Linked DNA regions of Coturnix japonica. The main gene of each other region encodes a partner of the protein of the gene in region 2 in a complex. Links are inferred from orthologs where the notes say so. Each region holds a gene or a part of one and is shown on either strand. Other genes may lie near its edges.

Region 1 (4,051 bases), on a different chromosome or scaffold from region 2:
ACACCTCTACCCTCACGTTTGTTGCTCTGCAGTTTGCAGTGAGCAGATGTTGGCCTGGAGATCCATCGTGCAGGGCAGACACGGCAGCTTCTCTGCAGGGTGAGGAGGCAGGTGGGGCCCTGAGCTGCCTGAGCCACCAACGCGCTGCTGCGGCTGATGTGTGACTGGTGGTGCCACCATTGGGATTGTCCTGGAGGAAACAGTGATAACCAGAGACAGCAACATCCAAAGACAGAATGAGAGCTGCTGGCTCCGTCAGCCCCAGCTCACAGCAGCACACACCGTTAGTGCAGCATTTCTCCTCAGCCTGGTAGCACATCGCCATTGCATTGAACGGTTCTCAGTCCTTTTCAGACCCCAGTAAAAAGGTTCATTTGAACTGCTCAGGGCTTTGAGCATCGCTCTCAAAAGAAACCTCTGCATCCAGGCCAGGAAACGTCACTTGCTGCTGAATCATGTGAATCTTGTATCACATTTTAAGTCGAGGTTTTCAGAAGGAACAGGAATTAACAAAGAGGAGTTTGGGAATAGATGGAGATTTTGTTTGGTCTTTCCTCCTTTCTTCTTTGTTTTTGTGATGCCCATTTGGGGACATTCAGGATGAAAAAGCGAGCGAGGTCCCAGAGCTGCTCTCCAGCTGAAGGGGGTTTTGCTTTGCCCCCAATTAAAACCTGGAACAACAGCATCCCACTTAGCACCGTATGAAAGCTTCCTTCTGAAGGAAACCTTTTGAGATGTTGGAGGAGAACCATCACTGAGATCAACACTTTGTGCGTTGAACTAATTAACGGGGTGTTCATGAAGGTGTGGGAACGAGCTGCTCCTGCAGCAGGGGCCATTCCCAGGAGAAGCCCCGGAGGCGGCTGCTGTGCCCACCTGGTGCCGGGGGCTGCAGTCGGGATGTGTGGGGACGCACAGGGGCGGCCCAGCGTCCCACTGCGGGTCGGTGTGATCCCGGGATGGGGCAGCACAGGACGCAGCCCAGCAGAGCATCACACCGAGGTGGCAGCAGCTGTGAGTGCGCCCAGGAGAGCAGGGAGCCCATGGCACCGTGTGAGCTCGTGTTGGCTCCCAGCATTCCCAGATTCCTTCTCAGCTGCCGACCTGCTGAGTGCGTTTCTTCAGTAAAACTTCTGAACATAAGAAAACAGATTTGGGAATGGCAGAATCATAGAATCACAGAATGGTTTGGGCTGGAAGGGACCTTTCAGACCATTCCAACCCCTGCTATGGGCAGGGACCCCTCCCACAGCCCAGTTGCTCACAGCCCCATCCAGCCTGGACTGAGTGTTGCTGGGGAGGAGCATCCACAGCCTCACAACAACCTGCTCCAGTGTCACCACACTCAGTAAAGAATTCCTCCCCAATGTTTAGTCTAAACTGCCATCTAACAGTTTAAAGCCATTTCCCCTTGTCTTCTCACTACCTGCCCTTATAAAGTCTCTCCCCAGTTTTCCTGTAGGCCCTTCAGGTCCTGGCAGGGCTGTAAGGTTCCCTCAGAGCCTTCTGTTCTCCAGGCTGCACAGCCCAGCTCTCAGCCCATTCTCATAGTGGGGCTGCTCCATCCTCTGATCATCTCCATGGCCTGCAGGGCCATCCAGATCCGTTATCCCCTTACCACAAATACTGCCCACATCCCCCAGCGCTGCATCATCTCTGTGGATCCTGGATCCCCCCAGGGATGGTGACTCCCCCCCGTCAGGCCGTTCCAATGCATCACAGCTCTTTTGGAGAAGTTTTTCCAAGCACCCAGCGCTGTGCTCCGGTTCCACAAGTTTTCCCTCACAGGGGTGACCCACCGTCCCGCTGCCATCCGTGGGAACAGCGTCTAAACGGGGAACTGCGCCTGTTTGGACACGGCCGGGCAGCCCGTCCCACGCGGCACCATCAGAGCGCTCAGCGCTGGAGGAAACCGGCCGCGTTGCTCCGTCTGTGCCGCAGATCGGCCACCAAAAGGACGAAGGACCCGCCGCGTTTCTGCATCGCACCGCGCCGGGAAGCAGCAGCTCCGCGGGCAGAGGCGCGGCCGCCGCTCGGGACGGGCAGCAGGAAGGCACGAGCACCGCCCGCCGAGCGCCGGGAAGGACTTCGCTCCCCTGGGCCGCCCTCCCCGGGGCGATGCCGCAGCTCCGGCCGTGGGCGGGCAGTGCCGACAGCCGAAGATGTCGAGCAGGTACCACCGGGCAGCGGCGGATGGCTACCTGGACCTGCTGAAAGAAGCCACCAAGAAGGACCTGAACTCGCCGGACGAGGACGGGATGACGCCCACTCTGCTGGCCGCGTACCACGGGCGCCTGGAGGCCCTGGAGATCATATGCCGCAGGGGGTGAGTGGAGCAGCCTCCATCCCTCGGGGGCTGCGGCTCCGGCTCCTGGTAACGCTCATTTCTCATCTCCGCCGCCGCAGTGACGCCCCGGGAGCCGCTGGAGCTGCGGCCGCACTCGTGGGCGCTCTGTGAGCTCCGCGGGGCGCTGAGCTCTGCAAACGGCCGAGCAGCCCCTGCTTCCTGAGGCGAATCCTTCGGTTACCGTGGGAGGGAACCACCCTGAAGCGCCACCGAATGGGCCCGTGTCCCCATTTCTGTAGTGCTCCCTCCAGAGCCGATGTTTTATGCCGTGATTCTCTCGCAAGGTTTAGGAGGAGGGAAACAGTGAAGAAAATGTTTGTGCTGGGGTGACATGAAGGTTATGTTGTCCCCGGGTTTGTATTTTTGATCTAAATGGCTTAAGGGAGATTGGGGGGGAAACGTCGGATCAACTGCTTGGATGCATTTAGTTCTCCTTGCCTAGAAATAGGTCTGAAAACCTCACACCCAGCTGGGATTGCCGCAGCTCCGCTGTACGGCTCAGGCGCGGCTGCACAATAAAAGGGGCCTTTGGACTCTATTGCCGTGGTTGCGCCCCCAGGGAAAAAGCAAAACACGCGTGTGATGAAGGAGGAACTGAGAGTCCATAGGGCGCCCGGGGGGGAATGACCGCCCAGGGAACGAATTACAGCCACCTCCAGGGGTGAGTTCAACATTCCCCCCTGCCACGAGAACAACTGAAACGTCCGCACGCGCTCAGAGGATCCGCAGGGGGCACAAAGCCCCGCAGGGGGCACAAAGCCCCGCGGTGCCGCTCGCGTTCCCCCTCGTGCTCCTGCTCCCCCGGCGCGGGGCGGCTCCGGTTCCGCTCATCCCGGTGCTCCGTCCCGCTGCTGCTCGGTGCGTGTTCTGCGGGGGGGGCTGAGCTGTGGGAGCTGCTCGGTCTGCTCTGCTGGCCGCCCCTGCTTTCACGGAGTCACAGAACTGTAGGGGTTCCTCTGAGGTCTTTTCTTTTTGTGTAATGAATTCATCCTTTCCTTGAAGTAAAGGCAGTTTCCCGACAGATGCGGCGCGGACCAGCTCCCTCCCCGCCCGGCCCCGCAGCTCACGCAGCCCCAGGGGCGGTGGGGCAGCACGAGCCCTTTGTCTCCATCGTTCGTCCCCCCGGGCAGCAGCAGCTGCGCTCGGCCGGTCTGTGCTGCACCAGGGCCGCAGTCGTTGAAAATAATCTGGTTTTTATTTTGTTCCTTTTGTTTTCCAATTTCCCAATGAACTTCTGCTTTCCAGACCCCACGAGCAAAAGAACCTTACGTAGAAACAACAGAGCTGACTAAAACCGGGATCTGACCGAGCCCAACCCAGCAGCACTGGAGTCAAAGCTGCGACTGCGCTTTGCATTTACCCTCTGCTGCTCCCAGCCATCACTGTGCGGGCACAACAAGACCCTTCACTGCCACTCGCTGTGGTGTCCCCTGACGTGCAAAGGAGTCAGAAAAGGCCTTGGCAGTGCTCTGCCTGGAGGGCCATGGGGCAGCCAAACCCTGCTCCGGGAGTGCAGGCAGAGAGCTGGGTGTGCTGTGTGCCCCCCGGCCTCGTGCTGCTGCTTGGTGCCACCTGGCAGTGGGCAGCTGGGGGGGGCAGGGAGCGGGCAGGGCTGTGCCAGCAGCCCCACAGCGTGAAGGACGCCCTGCTGCTCCACGGGCAACTGCCCAGGGACAGACAAGTCGGGCAGTGAGCGGTGATCAG
Region 2 (4,171 bases):
ATTCCCCTCGCAGAGCCCCAGTCCCAGGCAGGCAGACACAAACACACAGCGAGCAGCTTCCACTGTGCAAATCAATGGGGATTTGCAAAGTCTCCTCTCTCAGCTCTTTGTTCTGCACTCGCCGAGCGGAGCCGTGCAGCACATCAGGTCGGGGCGGTGGGAACATCCCTCCCAGCAGCCAGATGGGGCCGTGCTGCTCCCTGCAGCGAGGGGACAACCAGCGGGAGCCCCATAAACACGGCCCCGACCCCAAAGGCAACGCAGCCTTGTGTGCAGCACCGCTCCTCCTGCAGCACGGCCAAGTGGGACGAGGCCCAGCTCGGGCAGACAAAAAAGCAGCGGCTGCTCTCAGCTCCTGCAAGAAGCGGAACAAACGGAGCAGCGGTACCGAGCGCTCCGCTCACCATTTATTTCCTCCCCTTCCTGCCCACCCCCATCGCAGTGCGGGGCCTCAGTCGGGCCGTGCCGGGCTCCACGAGCCGAGCACAGCGGGGATGGACGGGCAGCACCGGGCAGCCACCCCGCACACCGGGGTTAAGGACAACGTCCCGCTGCCCCTTATCCGAGCACCGGGACGTGCCGGGCCGCGGTTCCCCGTGTCCTAATGTTGGTACGGAGCCGCTCCCGCTGCCTTCAAAGCAGCACCCAAAGGTGCCAACAAAGGCCCGGTGCTGCGCTCCGCATTCGCCGTATTTTGAGCCGGCCTTATTATTTCCACTGCACCGTGCATTATTACCCGCCATGCAGCGCACTGACATCAGGCTCAGCCCGATCCCTCACGGCCGCTCCTCCTCCTCCTCCTCCTGCTGCTGCTGCCGGGGCTCCGGCCCCAGCCCACGCACAGCTCCGGGATGCGGGAGCCGCGCACCGCACACCGTGCAGCCCCGGGCCGAGCCGCGTTGGCTCCGGGTGCCGGCACAGGGAGCGAGGCCGCTCGGTGCTGCGGTCGCCCCGCTCGGTGCCGTCCCGCTGCGGCCTCCATACGGCCCGGCCCGCATCGCACCGCTGGGCCCTGCGGGACGGAGCTGCCGTACCCGCAGCACAGCGCACCCACCCCGCGGCACAGCCGCCATGGCCGCCCCGCTCCGTCCCCGCTCACGTCCCGCCGCCCGGTGCTCCCCGAGCACGGAGCCCGGCCCGGCCCACACGGCGACAGCCCCGAGTGCGGCCCGCGCTCACACCTCACCGGGCCCCGCCGGAGCGCCCTCCCGGTGCCGGTCCCGGTGCCGCTCCCCCCGTCGCACCGCCTGGGCCCTGCCCCGGCTCCGCCGCCCCCCCCGCCGGTTCCGGTGCCCGGCACCGCGCCCCACAACCTACCGGAGGCGCCGCCCCCGCCGCTCTCGGGCCGCTCGGTTCGTGCCCCGGCCGCGCTCCGGGCTCAGCCCGCTCGCATGGCGCGGCGGCCGGGCCCGCCGGGCTCGGTGTCCGTCCCGGTGCCGCTCGCGCTCCGGCCTCGGCCCCGCCTCACGGCGCCCCCTGCGATCCCGAGCCGATGGAACCGGCCGCCCCCTGCGCCGCCACCAGGTGGGAGCGTCCAACCCGGCCCCAGCGCCGTAATGAGCCTAAAAGAGCCGCAACTAAAACGCGCTGCGGGGTGAGAGCCGTAATGATCCGAGAGGATGCGCACTACAGGGACAGGGGGAAGGGCGGGGTGGGAATGTGGGTAGGGATGGAGATGGGAACAGAGATGGGAACGGAACGGAGACAGGGATGGGAAAAGGGATAGGGATAGAAACGGGAACAGGGCTGGGTTCAGGGATGGGGACAGGGATGGAGCTGGGAATAGGATGTGGATCTGGGTAGGGATGGGGATGGAGGCGCTGGGGACATCCCAGGCCAACCCTTAGAAGGTTTGGGGGTGTCCTGGGACAGTCCAGGAGGGTTTGCAGTGGGCTGCCTTGCACCAGGCCTGAGGGACTCGAGGAACGAGGGCACAGTGACCCTTCAGCAGTAGGGGCTGTCCTGGACCAGCCCTCAAGAGTTTCACCCCAGTCCTGGCCCTTTATGGGGTGCAGTGGGGCCTTAGAGCAGGCTGGGTGTCCTGGCTGGGTGTCCTGGGGTGTGCAGAGCTGTGCGGGCTCCTGGCCCCCTGAGATCCTCCCCAGTGTATAAGAAGGAAGAGGGCCAGGCCCGAGGTCCTGCAGAGCCAGTACAGGCTGTGTCTGTGCCTCCCCCCACTCTCACATCCCAGCCTTCTTCTGCATGAGCAGAGCCACACAATCCACCCTTGTCCCCAGCAGGGCTGAAGTAGGTCAGGGAGGCAGAGCTGAGCCCTCTAGGCCCCCCCAGGGAGGGAACCTCACAGCGGGGGATGCACGAGGCCCCAGCGGCAGCTCCACTGGGTCGGTGCCCACCTGTGTCCTGGTGAGACCTCCCTGCTCCAGCCCAGGGGATGCCAGGCAGTTCCTCAGCCCCTCCCCAGTGCCCTGGGTTTGGGGTCCCCCTGCAGCCCTACAGGCAGAGTCCCCAGGGTGCGGGTTGGGGTGGATGAGCCACGGGGATGGTCCCCAGCACAGGGGGCTGGAGCTGGGGAGCAGTTGCTGGGCTGGGCCAGAGCTGGGTGATGAGCAGCAGGGAGGAGAATGGAGAAAGCAGTTTCTCACCCCTTAATTGCAGTTAATCATTGATGAACTTGCTTACTTCAGGAGTCAAAGTTCTGCAGTGCTGCCAGGGTGCAAGCACGGCATAGCTGCCGGCAGCATCCCGGCTAGGTGCCTGCAGGTAAGGGATCCCAGCACGACCCCCCATGGGCACTGCAGTCTGGGTTTGGGGTGGGGGAATGTCTGTTGGAGGGGGTGAGCTGTGGGGGCTGCCCATAGGCGGTGATGTAAGAGAGGGGGATGTTGTGGGGTGTCACAGCTCTCTCTGGGGCTTCCATGTGGGGCTTGGAGTGATCTGGAGTGACTCAGCCTTCAGCTGTGCTCAGGAGCTGGTCTTGGGGTCCCCAGATACTCCTGAGGTCACCAGAACCTACAGACCAGCTCCATCCCCCCACTGTATCCCCATGGGATGGGACCTGTTCCCTTGGGCAGCTCAGTCCCATCCCATGCTCTTCCAGTGGGCATGGTGGGGGGGCTCGGAACATGCCCCAGTTTCTCTTCTGTGTTCCACAGGCTTTGGGCAGGATGGCATGGCACCCGCTGCTGCTGCTCCCCTTCCTCCTGGCAGCAGGTGAGGACTTTGCTTGGTGCAGGCCTGGGTTGCAGGGAAGCATCAGAGACGCTTCCAGCTCCATCCCATTTCCCTGGGGGCATCCATGACCCCCAAAAGTGGCACTGTGGGCTGGGCAGGGGAGGGTGAGGAGTGGGAGTTGTGGGGTGAGGAGGGGGAGATCCCCTGCACTCAGCTCATGTTCTCCCTGCAGCTTCAGGAAACACAGCTCCCATCTTCAACATGACCCTCGTGTACGTGCCTGAGGACCTGCCGATAGGTGAGGGGCGGCTGCGGGGGGGCTGCTGGGATGGGGGGAGAGCCTGGGGATGACGATGCCTTTCTCCCCTTGTCCCCAGGCGCGATTGCTTTCAGTCTGTCAGCCTATGACTTAGATGGGGACCCAATCACCTACGACATCACTGGGGAAGATTCCTTCTACTTTAAAGTTGATGCACAGACAGGTGTGGTGACACTGAAAAACCTGCTGGACCGTGAGGTGAGAGCAGGGACTGGGAGATGGGGCCATGGGGATGAATGGCAGAGCCCTCGGACTGAGGCTGAGCTCTGCCTGCCCTGACTGAGCTCTACTTTCCCTCCCCAGTCCAAGGCCAAGCTCGACATCTTTGTCATATTGTCTGACGGGATCAATACAGCAGTGAGTAGTGGGAACAGGGATCACAGTGGGGTCTCCGCAGGGTCTCAGTAATGCTGACTGTGATGCTCAGTGGGGCTTTGCCCAGGGGGGCAGTGCTGGCCGGCTCCTTTTCCCTTATCCAAGCTCTCCCCACAGGTCACCAGCCGCCTGACCATCATCGTGGATGACCGTAACGACAACGCACCCATCTTCCAATACCTGCCCTATGAAACCTCTGTCCTCGAGGTACCTTCCTGGGACCTGTTAGCCCCATGGGAGGGTAATTCCCATGGCATGGGTGTGCCTGGTGACAACAGGAAATAATAATGTGTGGTGACAGCATGAAGTGACGCTGCGCCTGGGCGTGTGGTTGTGGTGTTTGGT

Evidence for each region. Proteins that work in one complex are often made in the same cells at the same time.
Region 1: CDHR2 (region 2) and ANKS4B share a complex: the UniProt entries of both Homo sapiens proteins name them as parts of the IMAC/intermicrovillar adhesion complex. The link is inferred for Coturnix japonica from reciprocal best matches to the Homo sapiens genes CDHR2 and ANKS4B.

Annotation. Positions count from the first base shown.
Region 1 is NC_029529.1:12,774,110-12,778,160, forward strand, and holds the start of ANKS4B (ankyrin repeat and SAM domain-containing protein 4B), read left to right. Parts: upstream 1-1,247; 5' UTR 1,248-2,162; coding exon 2,163-2,326; intron 2,327-2,366; exon of another isoform or gene 2,367-2,970; coding exon of another isoform or gene 2,971-3,008; intron 3,009-4,051. UniProt on the Homo sapiens protein: As part of the intermicrovillar adhesion complex/IMAC plays a role in epithelial brush border differentiation, controlling microvilli organization and length. Plays a role in assembly of the complex.
Region 2 is NC_029528.1:12,170,790-12,174,960, reverse strand, and holds the start of CDHR2 (cadherin-related family member 2), read left to right. Parts: upstream 1-1,368; 5' UTR 1,369-1,391; coding exon 1,392-1,594; intron 1,595-2,187; exon of another isoform or gene 2,188-2,202; coding exon of another isoform or gene 2,203-2,364; intron 2,365-2,645; coding exon 2,646-2,721; intron 2,722-3,113; coding exon 3,114-3,171; intron 3,172-3,364; coding exon 3,365-3,430; intron 3,431-3,509; coding exon 3,510-3,649; intron 3,650-3,754; coding exon 3,755-3,808; intron 3,809-3,943; coding exon 3,944-4,033; intron 4,034-4,171. UniProt on the Homo sapiens protein: Intermicrovillar adhesion molecule that forms, via its extracellular domain, calcium-dependent heterophilic complexes with CDHR5 on adjacent microvilli. Thereby, controls the packing of microvilli at the apical membrane of epithelial cells.